Cricetulus griseus: one gene and its partners. The protein of the gene in region 1 interacts with the protein of each later gene in a biochemical or structural test. Links are inferred from orthologs where the notes say so. Each region holds a gene or a part of one and is shown in the gene's direction. Other genes may lie near its edges.

Region 1 (3,760 bases):
TTCTTCTTCTTCTTCTTCTTCTTCTTCTTCTTCTTCTTCTTCTCCTCCTCCTCCTCCTCCTCCTCCTCCTCCTCCTCCTCCTCCTTCTTCTTTCTTTTCTTTTCTTTTTTTTTTTTTTGGTTTTTTGAGACAGAGTTTCTCTGTATGGAAAGAGGCTGTCCTGGATCTTGCTCTGTAGACCAGGCTGATCTCGAACTCACAGAGATCCACCTGCCTCTGCCTCCTGAGTGCTGGTATTAAAGGTGTGTGCTGCCAATGCCTGGCAGGATATAGTTAACTTCTTAAGAATGGAGGTGCAGCTGAGCATTGGTGGCAGAGGCAGGTGGATCTCTGAGTTCAAGGCCATCCTGGTCTCCCGAGCAATTTCTAGGATAAGCTCCAAAGCTACACAGAGAAACCCTGTCTCAAAAAAAAAAAAAAAAAAAAAAAAAAGAATGGAGGTGCAGCACTAGTGTAAGCGCACATAGTGCTTTAAAAGAAATATCACTGTGAAGAACAACACGAGATAGTCTTGATCCACCACATAGCCTTGAGCTTGGGCTCATCACTAAAAGAAGAGTTCATTATTAGGAAGAATTAGCAGCAGACCTTGTGTTCAAACTGTGCTCCAGTCACATCTCCCAGAAGTTGTAATCTCCACTGAAAATGCTGGAATTGACTGGCTCATGCTTAGCCATTATCTGAAATGTGTTAGGGCTTAGGTGGAGCTCCAAGTAAAACAGCTCTTCAGCTGTACCAGGCCCCAGAGATCTGTCTGTTGATTTACAGGATAATATAGTTAAGAGTTTCTACAAAGCAAATTCCTCAGTAACTTTGTTGAACTTTGTGAGTAATGAATTTGACGTGTGTAACTGGACATGCCCAGCTGTGATCTTAGAATCAGCCCGAATCTTATTCTTTGCCTGTTGTAGACTAAAACGAACAAGGATGGTGGGAGCCAGGAGGTTGAGATTGCCCATTGCCATAAGGGACAGTACTTCGGAGAGCTTGCACTGGTCACCAACAAACCCAGAGCTGCTTCTGCCTATGCAGTTGGAGAAGTCAAATGCTTAGGTAAGAAAAGTTCTTTGTGAGGTGCTAACAAGCCCCCCCCCCAACCTTAGACTGTTAATAGTTGCTGGGGGAGAGAGAGATTGTCTTCATAGGGTAGCCACTGATAAATTGCCCATGACACAATCCTAATTAAACTTTCTTCCCTCTCCCCCACAAAAACGACATGAAATTAGAAGAATCGGAAGGGAACTAACTGGCTGGGAAGAAGAGAGGATAGATGGGAGTGGGACAAGATGGGGTGGAGTGAATATGATAAAAATTACATACATGGCCAGGCAGTGGTGGCACACGCCTTTAATCCCAGCACTTGGAAGGCAGAGGCAGGTGGATCTCTGAGTTCGAGGCCAGCCTGGTCTACAGAGCAAGTTCCAGGATAGGCTCCAAAGCTATATAGAGAAACCCAGTCTCGAAAAACAAAACAAAACAAAAAAATACACACACACACACACACACACACACACATATGAAGATGCCCTAATAACAACCATTATTGTATATTATATGTGCTAATAAAAACTTTAAAATGAAAAAGGAAATTCTTTGTACATTACTAATTTTTTTCTAATGTACAGGTTTTTTGTTTTGTTTTCTGTTAGCAAGCCTTGATTTATTCAGTCAAACTCATTCAGATCTAGGTCTGGGTACTTGTATAAATGAATTCTTAGAGCAAAGCTGTTTTTGGTGGGGGAGGTGTTGGGCATTGAACTTAGAACCTTGAACATTCTGAGCACATGCTGTACCTCTAAGCTTTCCCCAGCACCCTAGCGGTCGGTTCTGAGCAGTGAGCAACCCTGAGTAAGACAGGTGTACAGCGCCACAGCTGTGCAGAAGCAGCAGTGATGTGGGCAGGTTGCCAGGTCTGTGGAGGGACAAGACAGGCAGGTGCTGCTGTGCCCACATCCGTCTTCAGCGTTCGTACAGAGCATCCCTTCCCCAGTGTCCTGAAATGTCATCTCCTGGAGCATGAGGAAGTGGAGTAGGGAAAGGGTGGCATGCAGGAGATTGCTTCAACTGTTAACATAAACAAACCCTTCTCTCCCGAACTCTTTTTTTTTTCTTTTTTAAACAATGCAGTTATGGATGTTCAAGCATTTGAGAGGCTTCTGGGACCGTGCATGGACATCATGAAGAGGAATATCACACACTACGAAGAGCAGCTGGTGAAGATGTTTGGCTCCAACTTAGATCTGTTGGACCCTGGGCAGTAGATGTGATGATTCTCAGAGCCTTCTCAGTGTGACACCAAAACCTTCCAGTCAGCCACAGAACACACACAGAAAACAGACACGACAGAACCGTTCCTGCTGTTGTCACCGCCGCTGCCATTGCTGTGGTTAAGGGCATTTAGAAATCTTGAGAGTCAGCACTGAAAGATGGACAGAGGCTCCGCCCCCACCTCCACTTTGCTTCTGAAAGCCCATCATTAGACCACTTATGTAACAATTTACTTCAACCCAGTTTTCACATCTTTGGTTCAGAATGGCATGTCTCTCCAGCAATTTAAGTGCCTGATACAAAGTCCAAAGTGTAAACATCTTTTCCTCTCTTGCTGCTAATGATGCTTCTGAAAGTTACCCTAAGGTCTACAGAAACCTGTTGAATAACTGTAGACCCCTCCACAGTCCTTGTCAAGGGAGGAGATGGTACAGCCTTCAGTCTCCTCGTTTGTCTTTTGAGAAAGTTCACAGTGTGTTCACAGTTGCTGCCTTCACTTTCCCAGTGCAAGATGGCAGCAGTTATAATGGAGGTCTGTGCTCTAGTGGTCCTGTCCTATTTGCTGGCAGCTGCACAACATAGCTGTGTCCAAGCCCATAGTGACACTCAGAAAAGGGTCTATTGAAGGCCCAGCAGGCCCATACAGAGCAGATTGATTACTTAGATTCACGTTAGCAAGACACTTGGACTCAGCACTCCTGCCAGGAGCAAAGAGCCAGGAAAGATTATCTGGGTTAGCGTTCTTGTTGTTTGTTCTTAGCAAGTTTTGTTTAACCTCGGTGTAGTTTGCATAAAGAAATTGCTGCCATTTTCTAAGGAGCCAGGAGTTAGCTCAGCTGGTTAGAGCATGGTGCTGATACAAGGAGCCAGGATCTGGAGGTGTCGTCGCTTCATCTGACCTTTAGTTCCCTGAGCAACCCTGGCCATGTCTTGTTAGCAGTTGGTCCACTGGCTGATGGCTGTGGGCTGAAGGGGCTGTGCTACACAGAGAGTCCTTTTCCTTCATCTTCCAACATTGTTGCCTAGCTTGGCTAGGAATCATCCATTTTGAAACTCTTACAAAGAAGCTAATTTTTTTTAAGGAAATTATTTCTCTATTTAAAGGAATTCACTTTGGTCATATTCCATACACACATGGGGTTTGTGAGCTGACTCAGACATTTGTGCTAAGTATCTGTTTTCAAAACTTGGTATCATTGGGGAAGGGGGTGGGTGTGGCTCAGTGGCAAAGCACTTATGTAGCATGTGCAAAGCCTTGGGTTTGATCTCCAGCACTATAATAACCACAGAAAGAAAGGTTACCATTTATAAACTTACTGTGAAGGCCTTTCTAACTGTCTCTCAGCTTTTGCCGTGGTCACTTGTAGTTAAGAGATGTCCAGACTAGATCAGTCACCACCATTTTAGTAATTACTTTTTCTTGTGTTCCATGAAATAAAGCAGGACTCTTCAGACTGCCCTAAGTAGCCTATGTTACAGCTTTGGGAATTGT
Region 2 (5,100 bases), on another chromosome or scaffold:
CAAATAACTCTGAGGGAAGTTAAATTTTCCATTTAGTACTTGAAGAGGAATCTTGCTGGCCAGTGAAGATTGAAATACAATGTTCTGTATGCTTAATTCATTCAAAAAAAAAAAATAGGTATTATGAAGTTCTTGCTACCTGAATGGGAGCTCTAGTTATAGAAGACTGGATGTGTTGTACTCATAGTAAAGCTCAGATTGACAGCAGGAGGAGATGCTGGCAGAACTGATGGGAGCCTCAGAAAGGATAGCTTTAGAACACCCCACTCCCAACATGTAGAATGCTGGGCTTGGAGCCTAAAAACCAGAATTCTGTAATCCTGGTGCCCACTAAAGTTGAACCAAACAGACAAAACAGTTTTAAAAGCCGTTGGTGAATTAAAATGGAACAGTTTGGGTAGATTTATGTCTTCCAACATTGATGATATAGCAACTCATCAAAGAGAAACAGGAAATTGTCATGTAGGTTGCTATTTCAAAAGGACAAGTACTTAGCTTCTCTGTAAGCCCAGCTTTCTGGGTACATTGTTAATAAATTTTGAAGCCCCTGTTAAGATTTGTATTATTGAATGTAGCAGCAGTTATGTTACCAGTAAATGGTGATTTTCAGAGGATCACTCTGTTACTAGAGCTAGTAATACTTCATACTATGTTTCACAGTACTTTCTATGTCATTTTGAATTTTCACAGGTTCTTTGTGTGGACATGGATAATTAAGGCCACATCTGCTTTGTAGTGGAAGCAGTATAGGTCATGATGCAAATAGAACTGATAAGATCCCACAGGTTTTTTGAATTTGCCCGAGGACTGCCTATCGAAACTACAGCAGTCTTTTGACTTCAACAATTGGCAGTTTAAAGATCCCTAGCTATGGGTGGTGCTATGCTGGGTTGGTGGAATGCTCCGTAATAAATGAGTTCCAAATATATTGTTACTTGCTTTGAAATACCACCCCCCCCCCCACAACACACAACCACCACCACTGAACCGTTTAGCTTTCAGGATTTGTTTCTGGCATTTGTTTGTATGGTACCCTGCCTTACCCTTTGCCCTGCTGTGGAACCCATCATGCCTCTCTTGTGTCTCCACTGTGCTTCACAGACCACTTAACACTTCTAACACTTTAGATGCATTTTTGTGGATGTGTTTTCCCCATTTACTCGGTTGCACATTCCTTAAGAGTTGAGGGCAGCACTTGAAATTTGTTTCTATTGCCTTCTTCAGTTTTACTTGTGCTTCTATATCTCAGTGCCTTTCGAATAGGCATGGTAGTTTTGGTTAAATGTTCTCAAGTAGAATTCCAAGTCATCCTCAGGAAAGAGCTTTGCCCCATGTGTGAATAAATAATTGATCATCTGAAGAAAAGGTTAGGATTTATGTCCTCAAAAGGAAGATCAGTTAAGATATGAAACTGCACAGGAGAACTTTGTGATCTGGAGCAAGTGACAGAGTGTTATTTTGTTTTGATCTCTTTGGTGGGGTCCTTAGTGAGAACTCGGGACTGACAGTGCTTAACTGGCGCTTTAGCTAAACTTCTGTCCTGTATCTCTGTTATTTACTTGGAACTTTCTGTGTGTGCTTTCTTAGTAATCTTGTTCTACTTCTCTGACAAAGCAATGAATTAGGAGTTTTCTTATTTTATGGAAGGAGAAATTGGGCTAAGATTTATATTTTAAAGTTACCAGTCTTTGATTGAAGATTCAAGTTTTTCATTGCTTCTTTGAGACTTGCTTTGTCACTTGAGATGAGACTATTAATATTCTGTTTTTTAATTAAAGTTTTTATCAATGTGTTTGTTTGACTATATGTCAATTGAATACAGGTATCTGAAAAAGCCAGAAGAGGGCATCAGCTTCCTTAGACCTTGAGTTACAGGCAGATGTGAGCCACCCAAGTGTCCAGCATGGATGCTAGGAGCTACACTCAAGTCCTCTGTAAGAACAGTGAGTGGTCTTAACCTCTGTTAAGCCAGCTCTTTAGTTTCCTTGTCCTTGCTCTTAAAAATTATTTATTTATGTATTCATTCATTCATTCATTCATTCATCTGTTTAATTTGTGTATATAGGGACGTAAGTGCCACAGCATGTCCATGGAGGTCAGAGGCAACTTGTAGGGTCAGTTCTCTCCCTTAATATGTGGGCTGGTGGGATCCAGCTCAGGTCTGCAGGCTTGGGAGAAAACACCCTTACTTGCTGACCCATCTCCCTGGCTCTGTTTCTCCTTTTTAAACCAAGAAAAAGCTGTTGGCTCTTGTATATCCTTGGAGCCCTCCACAAAACTCTGTTTGGATTAACTGCTGACCCCATGTGATATACAGAGCATCTGGCAGCTGGGGTGGAATTCTCAGCTGTCTCTTTTTGTTTTGTCCACAGAAGGAAATGTGAGTTTTATCTTACGGTACATTCCTTTTTTGGTTCATGGGATCCTCCAATCTGGTTGTGGGCTCATTTCCTACCTTTGTTTTGTTGTTATCTTGCATTTGTTTGGAGATCAGGAATGAACTTAACCTACTCTTAATGAAGGTAGAATTATGAGGTACCTCTGGCATTCCAAAATTCTACTTTGAGGTTTTGCTGACATTGTCTAGTTCATTCTTGTTGTATGAAGTGAATCCAGGCAGCAGATCCTAAGACGTTAGCTCTGCAGTTACTTATCTTTTCTGCATGAAGCCTGCTTTCCAGTTCTCAGTGACATTTATTATTCTTCCCACATGTAAGGGTATGATTTATACATTGTCTGCATATTACTCAGAATTAAAAATGTTTTTACTTCTTGGTTAGAAGAGAAAGGATGTTTGAAGACATGATACACTGAGGCTCCACCATAGTTTTTCTGCTTAGTATAGAGTTGGGAATGCTGATTTTTTTTTTCCAGTTGTAATGTATTTGTGTATTTGCATGTGAGCATGCAGGAGGGAGTGGCCGAGAAGAATATTGTATTGCAGTAGTAATCATATGCACCTCTGATTATTTAGCATCTGCAAGTACTTACATGGTGTGCTGTGCTTCTTTATTTTTTTGTGTAATCCTAATAACTTCATGAGATGACTGCTCTCCTTAAAGAAGAGACAGTGTCAGAACACCTGTGTCACTTGGTGGACCGTGAAGCTAGCAAGGAGTAGAGTTAGAACTCAAATCTGGTCTCCCATCACCCCCAGGAAGTTAGCAATTCATTGCTGTTCTTACATTGTTAACCACCTGACCAGATTTTTGGAAACTTCTGTGCTTTCTAGTGTGTGGGAGGGGGTAGCTTAGAAGCTTGCTGAACTAGCTTCATTGATGACTTTGGAGGTGAAGCAAGACAATCAAAGACAATAAATAACCTAGGATGCTATTAGGTAGCTGAGAGCTGGGTGAGTACAGCAGCCAAGCCAGTCAACTCTTTTCAGTCAGCGTCAGAGTGAGTGACAAGAGTGCTTAAGTATCCTGGTCCCAGGGCGGGGAAGACAGAGAGGGGTCAAGAGTTAAGAAAGGCTGGTAGCTTTCAGCTCTTTCCTTGAAATTCCAAATGAAAATAATTTAAAAAACAAACAACCCAATGATGTTTCCTGCATTTTAAGCAAATATCTGATCCTGTTTCAGAAGGAAGAATGTCTGAATGTTGACTTAATTATTTGAGCAGTTCCATATGGTTATGAAAAAGTCCTGAGAGATGGAGAAGTTGCTTAAAAAAAAAAAAAAAAAAAAAAAAAAAAAGCCCACCAGAAAATCTGAGTCCAGCACCCTCCAAATAGTTTAGCAGTACTCATTTAACAGCAACAGACCGAGAAGTGAGCCGCATACAGCAACAGAAAGAACTTGGAAGAACTTTAAGAATTCCATTCTCTTAAGAGACACCTCTTACTATATGACTTACATACATTAAATGTTTTCCAAGCATTTGTATTTTGTTTCCATTTCATCTTAAATCTCAAAATTCTTATGTTTGGGGGAAGAAATAGCTCTTTCACAGAGAAAGAAACAGATTTATTGGGCGCCATCTGCTGGTTTTGTCTCAGTAGAACAAAGATGTGAAGCCTACAAATCTATGCATTTGCTTCTGTCTTGGAAGACAGTAGTATTGTTTAAACTGACTTCTGTTAACATTGAAGAGTGGGATACCTTTAACTGAAATATTCATGAACATGTTAAAAGAAGATTGATGAGTGGATTTAATTGGGCATTGTCATTATCTGTCAAAAGAGATACGTCAAAGAAAATTGTATGATTTTCTACCAGTGAAATCAACCCTAGTTGGTATGAAAATCAGCAAATTCCTCCGTTGATTCCTGTTTATGTTGTTAAGGAAAGTTAAGGGCTTTGCTTGCTTTTGGACTATGTCTGAGTATTTTTCTTTTAATAGAGTGGGTACTATAGATGAGTGATCCTGTTGTAGTTTCTTATCAGGGGTGTTTTTGAGCCTTGCTTCTTTTTAACTGTCATTTTATGGACTTGAGCTGAAGTCTTTCATTCTCAGAGCATTACATTTTAGATCTTTTGATTTCTCATACAGTTATCTCACATAAGATGCACTGTGGAGGAAGATTGTTTGCAGAATGGAGTTAAGAATTCATTTATCCAGCATACATTATTGAGCACTTACAACAACTCAACACACTTATAGGCACAGATACAGCATTGAATAAAACAAGTATGCCTTTTACTCAGATAATTATTTGGTCTCAGAATCCTGTACATCAATATACTGTATATGTGTTATATGTCATATTAGGTGTCACAGGAGAAAGCAAGCAGAGCAAGACAGCTAAGAGGTAGAGTGGGAAAGCTCTCACTCACCCACATACACATTTGAAGGATAATGGTCATTAGTGTTCATGATGAGCATATGTGACCTTTACCACCCATGTGTAGAAGTGCATGGGGCAGGTGATATAGCCTTTCCATGGCTTTCTTTTGTCTAGTGTTCATTGGGCCAGGAACTCTGGTCCTGGCTTATGTATTCCTGATGCTCAAGCCATGGCATATTACTCCAAGACTGTGTCATTTTGTTAACTTTAAGACTTTGTATACATCCGTTCACATCCTTGAATTTATCTTTTGCCTGTCTTCTCAGTTCCTACTTGTGTCTTCCTTCCCCTTTTAAAGATTCATGCTGCTTTAC
Region 3 (5,031 bases), on another chromosome or scaffold:
GCTTTCTATGAGAAAGCGGCTGAGCAAGCCATGATGAGCAGGCCAGTAAAGCAGCACTCCTTCATGGCCTCTGCATCAGCTCCTGCCTTCAGATTCCTGACCTGCTTGAGTTCCTGTCCTGACTTCCTTCCATGATGGACAGTGCTATGGAAGTATAAGTGGAATAAAGACTTTCCTTCCCCAAGTTGTTTGGTCACGTTGTTTTCATCACAACAATAGGAACTCTAAGACAACACTGATCACAAATTTAAAATATTTTAAGTAAAAAAAAAAAATATGCATTTAGTAAACTTTGCCCCCTAGCACCACAGCTTAGTACCACAAGATGCTATGAGTCCTGGTTTGCCCTGAGACCCAGTGCATCCTTGCCTACAGGCTAATCTGATGGAGGCATTTTCTCAATTGCGGTTCTCCCTTCAGGGAGGAACTTAACTTGTATCAGTTTGACAAATAAACAAACGAAACCATCAAACTAAACATAAACTAACTACAACAGTATGCCAATTCTGTGGCATCAGCTTCCTCATATTCTTGGGGTCCAAAATCTAGAATCAAGTGCTTAATGGCACTTGCCTACGATCCTAACACTTGGGAAATTGAGACAGGGGATTACTGTGAATACCAAGCCAGTTTGGGCCTACATGGTAACTGCTATATAAAATGATGTCTCAAACAAACAAATAACGATCATCCACAAAACCAAAACAAAATAAAATCACTGAAAGCATCTGGTGGCAAACAGCCACAGATCCAAATTATTGGAAGTCATTTTTCCTGTCATCCTTCCCTAAGCAATTGAGCACAACCGTTTTCATGGTATTTGCATTGTGTTATGTATCATAAGCAAACTGGAGATGATTTAAATAGTTGGGAGGTATGTATATGCTACAGGTAAATAATTATATTTCAAGTTCCTAATCTAGCTATCATCTATCTATTTATCTATTTTAAACGTAGTTTCTCTGTGTAGCTCTGGCTACCTTGGCTCTGTAAACCAGGCTGGCCTTGAATTCACAGAGTTCACAGTCTCTCTTTTCAGAGGCTTCTTCCCATGCACATGTGTTTATCTGAGCTCTGCTTTTGGAGGGAGTGGGATGCAGGACTAGAACACAAGGCCTTGTGCATGATAAGCAAGCATCCCACCACCAAACTACATCTCAGCCCAGAAGACCCCATTCTTTTGTTTGTGTTTTTGTTTTTCATTTGTTTTTTGTTTTTGTTTCTCTGTGTAGTCCTGGATGTCCAGGAACTCACTCTGTAGACCAGGCTGGCCTTGAGTTTAGAGATCCACCTGCCTCTGCCTCCCAAGTGCTGGGGTTAAAGGTGTGTGCCACCATGCCTGGCAAGTTCTATTTTATATAGGGACTATTTCTTTCATATAGTTTTTAAGAAAATGTTTCTCAAACAGTTATACTTTAAAAGCAAAACACAAAGGTACATAAAAATTGACTTCTGAGCTGACATAACAAAGCAGACTTAAGCAGCAGATTGTCAGAGAGAGAGAGAGAGAGAGAGAGAGAGAGAGAGAGAGAGAAGAGAGAGAGAGAGAGAGAAAGAGAGAGAGAGAGAGAGAGAGAGAGAGAGAGAGAGAATTAGATCATCAGACTATCTAGAAACAGGAGGACGACACTCAGAGTCAGGAAGCTCAGTCAGTTGGCGCCCGCCCTCCTGCTTTTCCTCCAGCCGCGGTTTCCGCTCCCTTTCGCGCTCTGGGCTGCCAGGAAGCCCCGCCCCACCGTATCTGGGCTATGATTGGCTCCTTTGAACGTCTACGGGTAACCTGATTGGTGGATCCCGGGCGCTTTATCGCGGTGAGTTTGAAACTGCTGGCACTCGGCCTCTGAGCTCCGGGAGTCGCTGCCTCCGCGCAGTCCGGAACTGCGCTGTGTCCGCCGCGGGAACGAGAGAGGTATGGCGTGAGGCGGGCCGGGTGCGGGCAGGGCCTGCGGGGCCTCCACGCGAGCCCGGGGTCCCTTCTGTGGACGGGCAGGGCATCCGTGTGAACCCAGGCTCCCCTTGTGGACGGGTAGGGCCTCCACGTGAGGGCATGGTCTCCCGTGGACGGGTAGGGCCTCACCTGAGCCCGGGGGCCCCGTGGGGACGGGCAGGGCCTCACCTGAGCCCGGGGTCCTTCGTGGAGGGGCAGCGCCTCCCCTGAGCTCGGAGTCCCTGCGACGTGCAGGGCCTCAGCCGAGTCCCGGGTTCCTGCAGCCCCGCAGGGCCTCCCTGGAGCCCCGGGTGTGGGCGGGGTGCCTGGCTGTGTCCTAGGCCCTGTGGGCTTGCGTGTGCAAGAGCTAGGCTGCGCCGCGCCAGCTGCCCCCGGAGGCCCTCCTCAGTGGGTGCTGCGGGAGAAACCGATCCGTGGTCGTTTTAAAAAGCACGAGTGTGAAGGTCCGGAGCCAAGAAGAACGTAGGATCGTTCCTTATTTTCAGTTGTCTGTGCTTGGAGACAGCCGCAGACAGTATCCAGGCTAAGAAAGGCTAAGAGGTAGAAACACTGATGATTTAACATCTGTCGTCTTAAAAAAAAAAGCTACTACTGAAGTTTCTGGCGTGCGCATCACCATCCCCCAAAACTTGGGAGATCTGGGCTGGAGGGACAGACGCTCTGGGCCATCAATAGCACCAGCCCCAGGAGACTGGAAAATGTTGGAGGGGAATGGGCCTGTCTTTGAAGACGCCTTAGCTCTTAGCTGTGTGTACAAAGGGGGCTGAAAAGTTTTAATGCATTATGGTTACATTACGTATGCCTATTGGAGAAGAAGGGTTTTTCTTGATGTCCATTGTAATTTCATAAAAATGGAGCCACTGACTGTGTGTGTAGTCGTGAGAGCTGGGATTCCAGGCTGTGTCACCACACTTCACGGGGGGGGGGGGGTTCATTTTACTTTGGAAAGGAATCTGTCAAGAAATGTCAGCTATTCCGTGATCTTGGTAGAGATCTAATCCGTGGCAAAGGGCGTGCACGGCAAAAGGTGCTTAGCTTTTTTCCCCCACCATTCTGTGTGAGGCAAGGATTTTTTTCTTTAGTTCATGACACTTTGCAAGTGTGATTAGAATTTTATGCAAATGGCACGGTCTTATAGTTATTGCCGTGATGAAACACCATTGACATGACCAAAGCAACTTGGGGAAGAGAGGGTTTACTTGGCTTTGCTTTCCCCATGACAGCTCCTCGTCCCTCGAAGTCAGGACAGGAATTCAAATAGGGCAGGAACCTGGAGGCCGGGACTGATGTAGAGACCATGGACGAGTGCTAATGGCAAGCTATTTTCTCGTGGCTTGCTCAGCCTGCTTTCTTATAGAATCTAGGACCTTGGGATGCCCAGGGATGGCACCATCCACAATGGTTTGGGCCTTCCCCATCAGTCAGTCATTTAGAAAATGTTCTATAATCTTGCCTGCAGCCCCCATCTTATAGAAGCATTTTTTAAATTGAGGTTTCCTCTTCCCAGTTGACTTTAGCTGGTGTCATGTTGACATAAAGCTAGTCGACCCAGTAACTTAACACTGCTCTACCATACTTATTGGCATTTCCCTTTAAGTGTCTTGAGTGGAAATGTCTGTGGCTGCTTTTTTGAAGGCATTCACTTGAGTGGCTGAACATTCCTGCTGCTCAAGTGAATTGGATGCTTTTAAAATAAATGTTTTTATAATAAATGTTATTTCTAATAGTTGTACTTTAAGGTGGCACTTCCTTCATTTGCTTTTGAGACAGTGTTGCAGTTAACTAGGCCACAGGGTGGCCTTGAACTTGGTCTTCTGATTCATCTTCCCTTGTGCTAGGATTACATCATGTGTGACTTCCTTCTCATAAATTCTTAAGATTTTCAGAAAATTAAAACAGTACAAATTTAGTACAGTAGCAATGTGTCTTGAAATGGTTGGGGAGAATGAGCATGTACTGGCATTAAAATTGCTATATTCTTTTTTTTTTTTTTTAACTTTCAGTCCTAGGAATCAAACCCAAAACCTTATGCATTTTTTATTTTGAGACATAGTGTCTCTAAGTTGTTCTAGCCTTGAACTTTTAATCTCTCTGTATCAGCCTCCTCAGTAGCTGGGATGACAGGCCTTCCCTAATGAGGTGTGCTTTATTTGTGAAATTCGAAGAAACTAAGTACTATGCTGTATAGAATATGCAAATGCAATGTTTGGGAGCTGAGAAGGCTCAGAAAGCTGCTGCAAGAGTAGTTAAACCGTGGTAATACCGTTTGAAATAAGAACTTATTTATGGGCTATTTGGAAGGGACTGTGGAAGACACTCTTTTTCCCATATCTTACCGATGAATTAGTAGCATGTAATCACACCACTGTTTCCCTTTGTTTTAGGGTCTGTCGTAACCTGTTGAGTAACTATGGAAGACTATATCAAAATAGAGAAAATTGGAGAAGGTGAGTAGTTTTAGTATAAAGTTTTTAAAAATAATTCAACAATGTTACTGCGTAACACAAAAACGTTTATTGAGTGTGATCCTTGATGTATTTGTACTTATGTGCATTAGCGTACTGTTATAGTTGGTGTTAGTGGTCACTTTGACAGAGTTTGGAATCACCCCAGCACTCCTGTAGGGCATTATCTTGAGTATATTAATTGAAGTAGGCAGGACCCTTCTCTCATTGTGGGCACAATTCCCTGGCTGAGATCCTGGACTGTAAGTGGAGAGAGGGATCCCAGCCATAGTAAGTCTCACCCTCAGCTGCCTTGTGCTCCTGCTGCACTATGACCCAGATTCTTAGTCCAAATAAACCCTTCCGTAGGTTGCTTTTGCCTGGGTTTATCACAGGAACAGTGGTTCACTTGTAACTCTTGTTCAAGAGAATTTAAATTATCCCTGATTCTTTGCTGATAACCATAGGGCCTCACAAACTTCTGAGCTCATCTCACTTCTGGTCCTGAACACACCAGATGTGTGTGTTTCAGAAACACTACTGATAGCTTGTATGTGTGTTTGGGGGTGTCAGTTAGGGAGGTAGAATTAAAGTAATTCACATTACATTTTAGTCTTATTCAATTAATTCTAAATACTA
Region 4 (4,587 bases), on another chromosome or scaffold:
CCTTCTTTCCCTCCATCTCTTTCTTCTCATTTTCCTTCTTACTTTCTCCTCTCTCCATTCCCTTCCTTTCCCCTCCTATCCCTCTCTTCCCTTCCTCTTTTCTTTCCTCTTTCTTCTGTCTCCTTCATTCCTTCTTTCCTTTTTTCTTTTTGAGACAGGTTCTCAGATAGCCCATGCTGGCCTCAAACTCACTGTGTATTGGAGAGTGACCTTGAATCCCAAATTCTCTTGTCTCCATCTCCCAAATGACTTCCTTCTTTTTATACAACCTTTTTAAAAGTATAGGAAACCATTCTTCCTCCTGGCCATATGAAAGAAAACAGGCCCCGGCCTGCCTTTGGCCCCGTCTATATGTGTAGTCCTCGGGACTTGAGTGGGTCTGGACTGAGGCTTGTGGAAAGAGATAATGATGAGGGGATGGATGGGAAAACCTGAAGCAGATCCCCTCAGTGACTGGATGTGGGAGAGTAGAAAGAAGGGATGAATCAGACATGATTCAAGGCTTCTGGCTTACAGACTAAGCATCGAAACTGTAGTACTAGTGTCACCATACCAAGATGAGGGACGAGTTGAGAGAAGAGGCTGTAATGGTTTTGAAGCTGCTGAGCCCAGCGTATCTGGGTACCATCTAGGTAAAGGGTGCCTGCAGCCAGGTGGCTCTGTGGGCCTGCTACCCCATTCCATCCACAACGTGTGTTTCACAGGGAGCCTCTGAGGGAATGGACACAAATGTTGGGTGTCCCAAGAGGCTATAGGACAGGGGAGAGCTGGTACATAAGCATCAGGATGTGAGATGGTTGGAGAGTCTGGTGCCTTGGGTGACACTCTTCTTAGCCTAGGCAAAAGGAAAGAAGAGTATCGTGGCCGTGAGCATCCATCACAACATGGAGCAGAACAGCAAAAAACAAGACAACGGGAGGGAAAATACAATGGGACAGAATCATGAGCCTTAACACTATTCGGAAAAGAGAGGACAGAATGCTGGTGGAGAGAGCCTTTAATCCCAGCACTCAGGGGGGCAGAGGCAGGTAGTTTGAGGCCAGCCTGGTCTACAGAGTGAGTTCCAGGACAACCGGAGTTACACAGAGAAAACCTGTGTTGAAAAACAGAGGGAGAGAGAGAGAGAGAGGACAGAGGGCCTTTGAGGGCACCATCCTCTGTTCCTATGTTACAGATGTCATGACCACCTGTCCTCTCACTGGTTCTGTTTTTGCTTAGTGACACAGCTGTTCTCCCTCACATGTGATATGAAAATAATCCTTTATAATGACTATATGAATTCCATATGCTGCTGTGGTCGCTGAGGCATTTGAAAGATGCTTTCTTCCCTACAAAGGGTTTGTCCTGGGGTTGTCATACAGTAACTTTATGCTTCAGCTGGAGGTCAGACAATGACTGGGTTACTCTCAGAGTATGCTTTCCTATTCTTTCAGTGTCTGCAGAATAACTAATTGTAGTGTAGGGGAGGACAGCTACGTCCTGCCTGCAAAACACTTGGCACCTTCTCCATTAACAGGCCCAAGAAAATGTAGAGGAAAAAAATAGGCACATATTTGATGAAAGAGTTGGAAAAAATGACTAAGTTTCTGGAAGGTAGGCGCCTCTTTGACATTGTCTATAAGCCTAGGCAGATCTCAGTCAAGATCACTTGCATGTTTCTGGCCTTCCCATCACTCTGCCCTGTTAGATCCGAAGTCTCTTATTTTAGCTGGTCTCTTAAAAAGTCTGGGTCCATTAAGATGTGGTGACTATTTGCATCTGTCTTCCCAGTGCATTAAGCTGCTGTGTGAAGAACACACGCAACCGCCTCTGTCCACACTGCCCACTACATGCTAACACTCAGGATGCTTGATGGTTACAATAGAAAGGGCACAGACCACTTTTTTTTCTGTCTGTTTGGCAATTAACCATTCACTGGCTTTTTTTTGTTGTAACATGCACTTCCTTTCTCTTGTTTTCATTCAAGCTATATACGCCATGGAAATTAATGTGGAGAAAGACAAACAGACAGGAGAGACCAAGATTCTCTCTGCATCCACCATTGGCCCAGAGGGGGTCCATCAGAGAGGAGTCAAAGTCTATGATGATGGTACCAAAGTAGTGTATGAGGTGCACTCAGGAGGCACTGTGGTAGAAAACGGAGTCCACAAATTAAGCGCAAAGGATGTGGAAGAACTAATTCAGAAGGCTGGACAATCGAGCTTCAGGGGACACATGTCTGAAAGGACTGTTGTTGCAGATGGGAGCCTGGGCCATCCCAAGGAACACATGCTCTGCAAAGAAGCCAAGTTAGAAATGGTACAAAAATCTAGGAAAGATCACGCTTCGGGAAACCCCGGGCAGCAGGCCCAGCCCTCCAGCACGGAAGGGCCAGAGGCAAACCTGGATCAACCCGTCACCATGATTTTTATGGGCTACCAAAACATTGAAGATGAAGAGGAGACTAAAAAGGTGCTAGGCTATGACGAAACCATCAAGGCCGAACTAGTCCTAATCGATGAAGACGATGAGAAGTCGCTAAGAGAGAAGACAGTGACGGACGTGTCCACGATCGATGGAAATGCAGCTGAGCTGGTGTCCGGGAGACCCGTGTCAGACACCACAGAACCCTCATCCCCAGAAGGCAAGGAAGAGAGCCTGGCCACAGAACCGGCCCCAGGTACCCAAAAGAAAAAGCGCTGTCAATGCTGTGTTGTCATGTGACCACTTCTTTCTCCTCCCCTTTCTTCCGGGCAGCCTCTCTACTCTCCACCTCTTAAATAGACCTCACTGTACCACTAACAGCGATACTGTGAACTGGAAGCAAACACCTGCCTTGCCTCGCAGTTGGATTTGCTTTGATCTCTCACTCACATCTTTCCTTCTCACTTGGGAAACAACGTGCATGTGTGTGCTTCATTTTTTTTTCTCCCCAAGAACTTACTTTTTCCTCTAAACCTTTCCTTGTGTCTTCAAGAGTGAATCAGTGCCGTACTGCTCGATTGGAGTGGACTCTTCATAGCAACTGGTTATCTAGTAGCCTTAATTGACTTGACTGGACTCACACCCGTTGTTGGCACCGGGGGTTTTCATTTTGGCGTGTGTTCCTCTAACATAGACACGCATACACAGAACATACACACTGCCATGCCCCTGGCTTCTCGCCTGCCTCTTTTGCTGTGTGGGTCTTTGTTTTTTTTTTTATATATATCTTGTGTAGCAAAATGCTGTGAGCTCTAGCCGGTTGCTAGCATAGTCGAAAGTGGACCTATCTTAACCTGGCTGTTCTAGGGTGACACGTTTTCTTTGCTGCCTTACATACGCTTCCAAATTACAGTATTGTACTTTCCTTCTGTTAAAACGGATACGAAGTTGACTGGAAAGCAAAGAACCCAGCGCCTGGCCCAGCTAAAGTGTAGGGACTGACGCATCTATCACCTGCCAGTCAGCAGCTTTCTCTTTCTATGGCTTACCCAATGAACCCTTTCTACAGGACTTTCTAAGGACCTCAGGCCACCATTGTTTTCAGCATCTGTAGTGCTCGCCAACCCATAAGCCTTGTTTCCAAGCTCTCCCAAAATGTAAATTTTTATATTGTTTTCTTTCTCATGGGTATCTTCTGATTGAATTCAGCTATTTTCAAAAAGTGGATCATTTTGAGAAGTCTCTCTGCAGTGACCATATTTCTTAAAACAGTCTTTCTGACCTATAGGGGCTGTCATTACACCCCTACTGAATCCAGGATGGTGCTGTAAGCATTAGCTGTCCATTTCCCATGCCCAGCTGATTAGTCTCACATCTGTGCTTTTTTCTTTTTTTTACTTTTTATTTTGTTTTCATATTCCCATGGGTAAGAGGATGTTTTGGGTAACCTCAATGTATAGTTTTCTCCACTCTTAAAAAAAAAAAAATTGGGCAGTGGTGGTACATGAGGTGGATCTCTGTGAGTTCAAGGCCAGCCTGTTCTACAGAGTGAGTTCCAGGATAGCCAGGGCTACACAGAGATACCACATCTCAACAAAAATCAAATAGACAGACAAAGGTTTTTCAATGTGAAAAGCATTGAAAGACAAAGAAAGATCATAAATATTTCCACATGGTCTGATTGTCACATTCCCTGGGCTTCTTAAGGCTTCCTTTCTTCAATTTCTGGGAATTCTAGAATATTGAGGAATTTTTTTAACCTAAAACATGATGAACAACCCTTGAAATACATTGTTAGAATGGCCCCAACCTGGACATCCACATGATTAGTGAAACCAAAGGGAAGGAATTTAGAAAAAGAGCCCTAATACAGGAATAAAATGAAGTGGTGATGTGTTAACTGATTTTGATGAAAGATAACTTTGTTTACCCTGACATTCAAAATATCATCACAAATCAATACCAGAATCATGTATATTCCCATGGAATATAGTCTCAAAAACCATATGCTTGACCTCCTACATCAAGTCTCAACATATCTGAAAGGAAGCTCAGAAAAAAAAAATAATAATGAGGAAGCCTGAGGAATTGCAGTAAAGAGCCAACTAAATTCATCCCATTTAGCTTGTTTGAAGATAAATCTGTTATTTTGTTCATTTCTTGGCTTAAAGTTATATTTATTAC
Region 5 (5,372 bases), on another chromosome or scaffold:
AAAGCAAAGCAAAACCAAAACATCCTCAAATATGTGTATAAGTGTGTGTGTGTTCCCTCTTTACATAACCTTGCATATTTGTATTTCCTACCCATTCTCTTTTTAACTCCAGACTTGCATATCCAACTCAGCTGCTATTTGCAAAAGCAGTATAAAGTTAATGGGTCCCAAATAAACCAAATGCTTGCCTGCCAGCATTAACTAAAGCCAGAGAGACCTTAACCATAACAACGTGAGTGAGTCTTGTCCCTCTACTTCTAACAACCCCAGAGTCACTGAGTGCTGGGTCCTTACCTTAGGCCAGCATCTAGTCTCAAATGGATCAATTACCTCAGCTTCTTGACCAGTCCCTTCTGCCATGGTCAGTTACTAATCCACTATTTACAGAACAGGTATGGTTCTGTAAATTTGGGGGGGCGGGGTGGAGAGATGGCTCAGTGGTTAAGAGCACTACCAAATCTTGCAGAGGATCAGAGTTTGGTTCCCAGGCTCCACATGGAGGCTCTAAACTGGTTTGTAACTCCAGTTCCAGAGGATCCAATGTCCTCTTGGGTCCTTCACAAGCATCAGGCACTCACATGATGTATGTACATGTATGCAGGCAAACACTCATACACATAAACTCTTTAAAAACAATTGTGGGGGGTTTGAGATAGGAACTCAACTCTGTAGCCCAGGGTGCCTTGAAATTGTGGCAATCCTCCTGCCTCAGCCTCCCAAGTGCTGCCTCATGAAATAAATGAGTTAGACAGTAGATAGATGAAATTATATTTTCCACTCAGTAAGCATACAGTCTCTTTTTAAAATTTAAATTCACGCTTGATCACCAGTGAAGATTTTCCCAAGTAATGGTTAGTTCTTTTTGGTTTTGTTGTTGTTGCCTTTTTTTTTTTTTTTTTTGAGAAAGGGTTTCTCTGTGTAGCTTTGGCTGTCTTAGTACTCACTCTGTAGACCAGGCTGGCCTTGAATTCAGAGATTTACCTGCCTCTGCCAAGTCCTGGGATTAAAGGGGAGCACCACCGCCGGTCTAGGACCAAGTAATGGCTAGTTATTAGTATGGTATCTTTTCTATATTTTGTTCAAAAACTGCATTTAAAGTACCATGTTGCCTTTGTAAAGCCAACATTACAAAGGTAGAGGCAGGAGGATCAGGAGTTCAAGGTCAGCCTCAGCTACCTTTCGAGGTTGAGGCCAGTGTAGGTTACACGAAAGTCTCAGAATATCAAAATAAATAAGCAAGAAACAAAAAGCGCCTAGGTTTTAAGGTTCAGAGCAGAGCTGGCCAGAGGGACTCCTCTGAATGTCTGAAGGCATTTTATTTTCCAAAGTTGTTGTGGGAGGCAGTGACTCTTGGTGACCCACTTCTTCGAAGGCAAAGTTTCTGAAACCCCAAACCATTTAGAGGGAAGTCGTTTCGACATCACTGGGTTTGCGAAAATGGGAAAGCAATTTGGTATTCGAGTGCCACACAGTATCCGTATTAACTGAGCAATTTTCATGGCCCCCTATTATACTCGCAAGGTTACGGGAAAGCTAAAATCCGAGACAAGGGGAGCCTTGTCCCTCACCAGCTTCTCCGGCCTTTTCCAAGGGACACACCATCCGAAAGCAAGAACATGGGAAGACGCAGAGCCCCCACGCGCGCCAAATTCCCTGTGCCCGACGCGCAGACAACGGGAATCCATCCCGGCCGGAGCGTGGGCCGCACGGCCACTCCTACGCCGCTGTGACTACAACTCCTCTCGCGAGAGCACCCGCAGGGCGGGCCCGAACGGCGCCGGGATGTCAGCGGAGCTCTCCAGACCGCGCCCCTCTTGGCGCAGCTGGGAGAGAGGCGCGCGCAAGTCGGGGAGGGAGCGGCCGGTGTCGCGCACGCGCAGCAGGGCGAGCGGGCGAGTGGGAGCCCGAGGGCGAGGGGCGGGGCTTTGCGTCGCGCCGCGGGCACGTCGTTGCGCGTCCTCAGTATTTAATGTCTCTGTGTTCGCCCGGCCTGGGCTAGCACGTGGGGGAGCGGCCGGAGCGCGGCTCGGCGCTGCAGGGCAGGGCCGCTGGGCTAGGTGGGGGTCAGGGGGCGGTGGCGGGAGGACTGTGTACCTAGACGGTCGCCCCGGAGCAGGTAAGTAGCGGCTGGCGCGGGCACCCGCCTGCCGGGCCCGGAGGGAGAGCGAGTTGGGGTGATGGGGAGCCCGGGGTGCAGGTGCAGGGTGCGACGCGCGTGCCAGGTGCTCCGGGGACGGGGCGGTGTGTGCACGGCGCCCGCTGTGAAGCGGGCGGGTCTGTGACTCAAGTGACCCGCGCGCCCCCTGGTCCTCCTTCTCGGTCGAGCTGGTGCTGACAGATCGCGTGTGCGCTTAGCTTGGGGCGCTGCTCTGAGCCGCTGCTTCCCCCCTCCCATCCCCCGCACGTCACTGGCCTCTAGGATGGAGGTGAGGGCACAATTCCTCCGGCGCCCCGGTGCGCCTCAACTTTCCCGGTGTTGGCTCGCCCTTCTGGGTAGCGAACCCGAGCGCGTCCCACCCAAGGTCGACCAGCCTCGGTCGCGTTTACTTTTCAAAGGTCGTGTGTACCCAGTTTGAGCGTGGAGAGGAGGCAGCGGGGCGGTCTCTGTCCAAGGACTCGGTACCCAAGGCGGGAGAAGAGGTCCTTGGGGACCGATCTCTTTCCTGGCTGAGGGATCGGAGTTGAAATTGGTCATTTTCAGAGCCTCTTGTAACTTCTGGGCCCGGTTGATTTCGTTCTGGGTTGTCCCGGCGGTGGTGGCAAACCCGAGCAGGTAGGCAAGGTTCCTGGAGTTCAGTGCAGGGAACTATCGGAGCGAGCTCTGCCGTCGCTGCGGGAAGGATGGGATGCGAGACAGATCCCGAGCCTATTGGCCGTGGAGGGACCGTAAGAACCGAGTTAGGATCGGGAGGTCGAGAACTTGGGTATCTTCAAGGGGATTAGGGTTTGTGGCCCCATAAGCGTGTCCCGAGAGGTGGAGGACCTCTAGCTCGAGGTGCCCGCTGACTTCTGGCCTGTGGGGAGTCCAGTGTCACGTGTTATGATCCACTTTCCTTCTCGTCCCGGGTCGGTGATCTGGAGGGACTTTGCAGGGGTCATAGGTAAAAATGTGCTTGGGGAGACCCCCCAGACGCATAAGGGGCGACATTCCAGAGTCAACTACCCCTGTGCCCTAGGTTATGGCTTTTCCTGTTTCCTTTCCTTGGGAGGGAAAGGCAGATGGTATTGGGTTATGCAGAAGCGACCTCTGAGAAGCCCTGTACATAACGGGACCTTTCTCCCCCAGTGAAATGCCTCCGGCGATCGGTACCTTTCTATCCTTGGGCTGTGGTTAACACAAACCCGGTGGACTTCGCTCCAGGTGCGAATGGAGGCTTCTCAAACCCAGTAGGATAGGGTGTATGTGTAGGGCAATTAGTGAGGTTAAACTGCCGATCTTTCCCCTACTGAGGTTGAGGCTGCTTGGGGTTTAAATTTAACTCCTGCAGTGAAATTAGGGCTGCTGGACCTGATGTAACCATCTCTCTGTTTGTTTGCCACCTCCCTCTATACTCGAGTATTGCAATTGCCATCCAGGAACACAGTTCACAAAAAGCTGTTGCTTTAGGAAATTAACCTTCCATGCTCGTTTAACTGCAAAATCCTTCCCAAATTAGTAACCACGTGGTTTTTTGTTTTGTTTTGTTTCTTTTAAACGTTTAACTTTAGAAAGAGTCTTAGGGCTACACCTACCCATTCCTCTCTTAAAGGTACAGAGCATCTAGACCTCTGAAAGAGTTCTCATATCAAATTCTTCTGTTATTGGCATTTAAGTGGTTCACCTGCAGATTATTTAGGACTTTTTCAGAGCCCAAGGAACAAGTGAGGTTATGTTTGGGGAGCTTTTTGGACTTGTTGAACCTTCTTTTCACCTCTAACCTGTTTTGTAGGTTCTGGGTAATTCCTGGGTGTAGTCTTGTGAAATATGAAAAAGTGGCCTTGGGTTAGAGGAGGCCCTCGTACCCTACAGGTATGCAAATCACTAAAGCTTCAGTCATTTTGCTAACTCAGTAGGCCTTGTTCTGTAGGATATGCAGGTGGCTATCCAACCCAGTGGGTGAGATCTGATCTAGGTCTAGTGGGTTTGTGTCTGCGTGGCTCTCCCATCTCCCAGCTGTTTGTAGAAATTGCATTCACACTTGGCCACTGCAGGGCGACAGCCTAGATACGGGTATCTGTTGTACATTGCCTGATCAGATGCTGAGAGCAATGTGTCGGGTTGCTGAGCATCAATACTTTAAAGCAGTGTCTTGCTAACCGGTAAACCAGATTATACTTGGACCTGGCCGAGAGGCTGGTCACAGCCATAGTTTATGGAGGAAGGTAGTTTTAACTTCCGATTTTCCCTTTCTCATCCTAAATATGGATGGAAATCATAAATTTGAGACTTGGGACTATGTCTTGGTATGTGGCAGGCACTTAAGTATAGTATCCTTCACTCCCAAGGAATCCCTGTGTTTGACTCAATCATTTGATTGTTTAAGTATAAAAGCACTCCCTCCCCTAGCCTCTGACCTAGTAATTTGCTTCGAAGGAAAGAGGAGACAAATTGATTTCTCCATGCTTTGCCACCTAGCCTCCTGGGTCAACATGTCTTGATGAAACTGGCATTTTAAGGCATCGGAGCTCATGTGCCTGGAGAGCTGCCCTGTTTTCCATGGCCACTCCTTCCTAGTCTTCCGTGAGTCTGCCATGCCTGGGCCTCTCTGCAGCCCAGTCTTTTCCTGTTTGAGGGAAGTTTGCGTCTGGCATTTGTTTCTTTGAATAGTCATCCTAGGAACTTTATTATAGGGAGGTGCTTGGGTTCTGTGGGCCCCCTGCCCCTCTGAAATATATAATAATGTTTGGAAGTTGCTAATCTCTATAGTGGGGCATATTTAAGTCCTAAATCTTGCTTTATAGGGCAAGTTTTGATTCTCCTTCCTGGTGTAGCCAGTCTCTTCGTCTTTCTCAAGTATTTGGGATTGAATATAGGGCCCTTATGCATGTTAAGTACTGTACCATTGAGCGTTAGCCCTAAGTGGTTTTTTTTTTGTTTGTTTGTTTGTTTTTGGAGACAGGGGTCTTGCTATGTAACTGAAGCCAACCTAAACCCACAATCCTCCTGCCTCAGTCTTCCAAGTGCAGGGATTACAAGCACACAGTATCACAGTTCACCTTTCCCTTACCTTTGTTTTCCTCCTCCTGATGGTGCATGTCATTCTGTCCAAGTTTTTGCCATTTGGATGCTCTTGCAGTTCTTATTTGTAAACATTCTGTTCCCTGTCCTGTATACTGGCCACTTGGGTTCACTCAGTCATGTCATTGAGGCCCATTTGCATCAGGAGCAAAGA

Evidence for each region.
Region 2: the proteins of Prkar2a (region 1) and Akap13 form a complex in vitro, tested with the Homo sapiens proteins (3 studies listed by BioGRID, with this or other methods). The link is inferred for Cricetulus griseus from reciprocal best matches to the Homo sapiens genes PRKAR2A and AKAP13.
Region 3: the proteins of Prkar2a (region 1) and Cdk1 form a complex in vitro, tested with the Homo sapiens proteins (2 studies listed by BioGRID, with this or other methods). The link is inferred for Cricetulus griseus from reciprocal best matches to the Homo sapiens genes PRKAR2A and CDK1.
Region 4: the proteins of Prkar2a (region 1) and Palm2akap2 form a complex in vitro, tested with the Homo sapiens proteins (2 studies listed by BioGRID, with this or other methods). The link is inferred for Cricetulus griseus from reciprocal best matches to the Homo sapiens genes PRKAR2A and PALM2AKAP2.
Region 5: the proteins of Prkar2a (region 1) and Akap1 form a complex in vitro, tested with the Homo sapiens proteins (2 studies listed by BioGRID, with this or other methods). The link is inferred for Cricetulus griseus from reciprocal best matches to the Homo sapiens genes PRKAR2A and AKAP1.

Annotation. Positions count from the first base shown.
Region 1 is NC_048597.1:216,918,630-216,922,389, forward strand, and holds part of Prkar2a (cAMP-dependent protein kinase type II-alpha regulatory subunit), read left to right. Parts: intron 1-911; coding exon 912-1,053; intron 1,054-2,127; coding exon 2,128-2,261; 3' UTR 2,262-3,760. UniProt on the Homo sapiens protein: Regulatory subunit of the cAMP-dependent protein kinases involved in cAMP signaling in cells. Type II regulatory chains mediate membrane association by binding to anchoring proteins, including the MAP2 kinase.
Region 2 is NC_048596.1:121,807,687-121,812,786, reverse strand, and holds the start of Akap13 (A-kinase anchor protein 13), read left to right. Parts: upstream 1-1,822; 5' UTR 1,823-1,907; coding exon 1,908-1,943; intron 1,944-5,100. UniProt on the Homo sapiens protein: Scaffold protein that plays an important role in assembling signaling complexes downstream of several types of G protein-coupled receptors.
Region 3 is NW_023276806.1:268,274,940-268,279,970, forward strand, and holds the start of Cdk1 (cyclin-dependent kinase 1), read left to right. Parts: upstream 1-1,763; 5' UTR 1,764-1,909; intron 1,910-4,332; 5' UTR 4,333-4,358; coding exon 4,359-4,395; intron 4,396-5,031. UniProt on the Homo sapiens protein: Plays a key role in the control of the eukaryotic cell cycle by modulating the centrosome cycle as well as mitotic onset; promotes G2-M transition via association with multiple interphase cyclins.
Region 4 is NC_048595.1:86,145,107-86,149,693, reverse strand, and holds part of Palm2akap2 (A-kinase anchor protein 2), read left to right. Parts: intron 1-1,966; coding exon 1,967-2,659; intron 2,660-4,587. UniProt on the Homo sapiens protein: Binds to regulatory subunit (RII) of protein kinase A. May be involved in establishing polarity in signaling systems or in integrating PKA-RII isoforms with downstream effectors to capture, amplify and focus diffuse, trans-cellular signals carried by cAMP.
Region 5 is NC_048600.1:102,035,582-102,040,953, reverse strand, and holds the start of Akap1 (A-kinase anchor protein 1, mitochondrial), read left to right. Parts: upstream 1-1,965; 5' UTR 1,966-2,116; intron 2,117-2,343; exon of another isoform or gene 2,344-2,426; intron 2,427-5,372.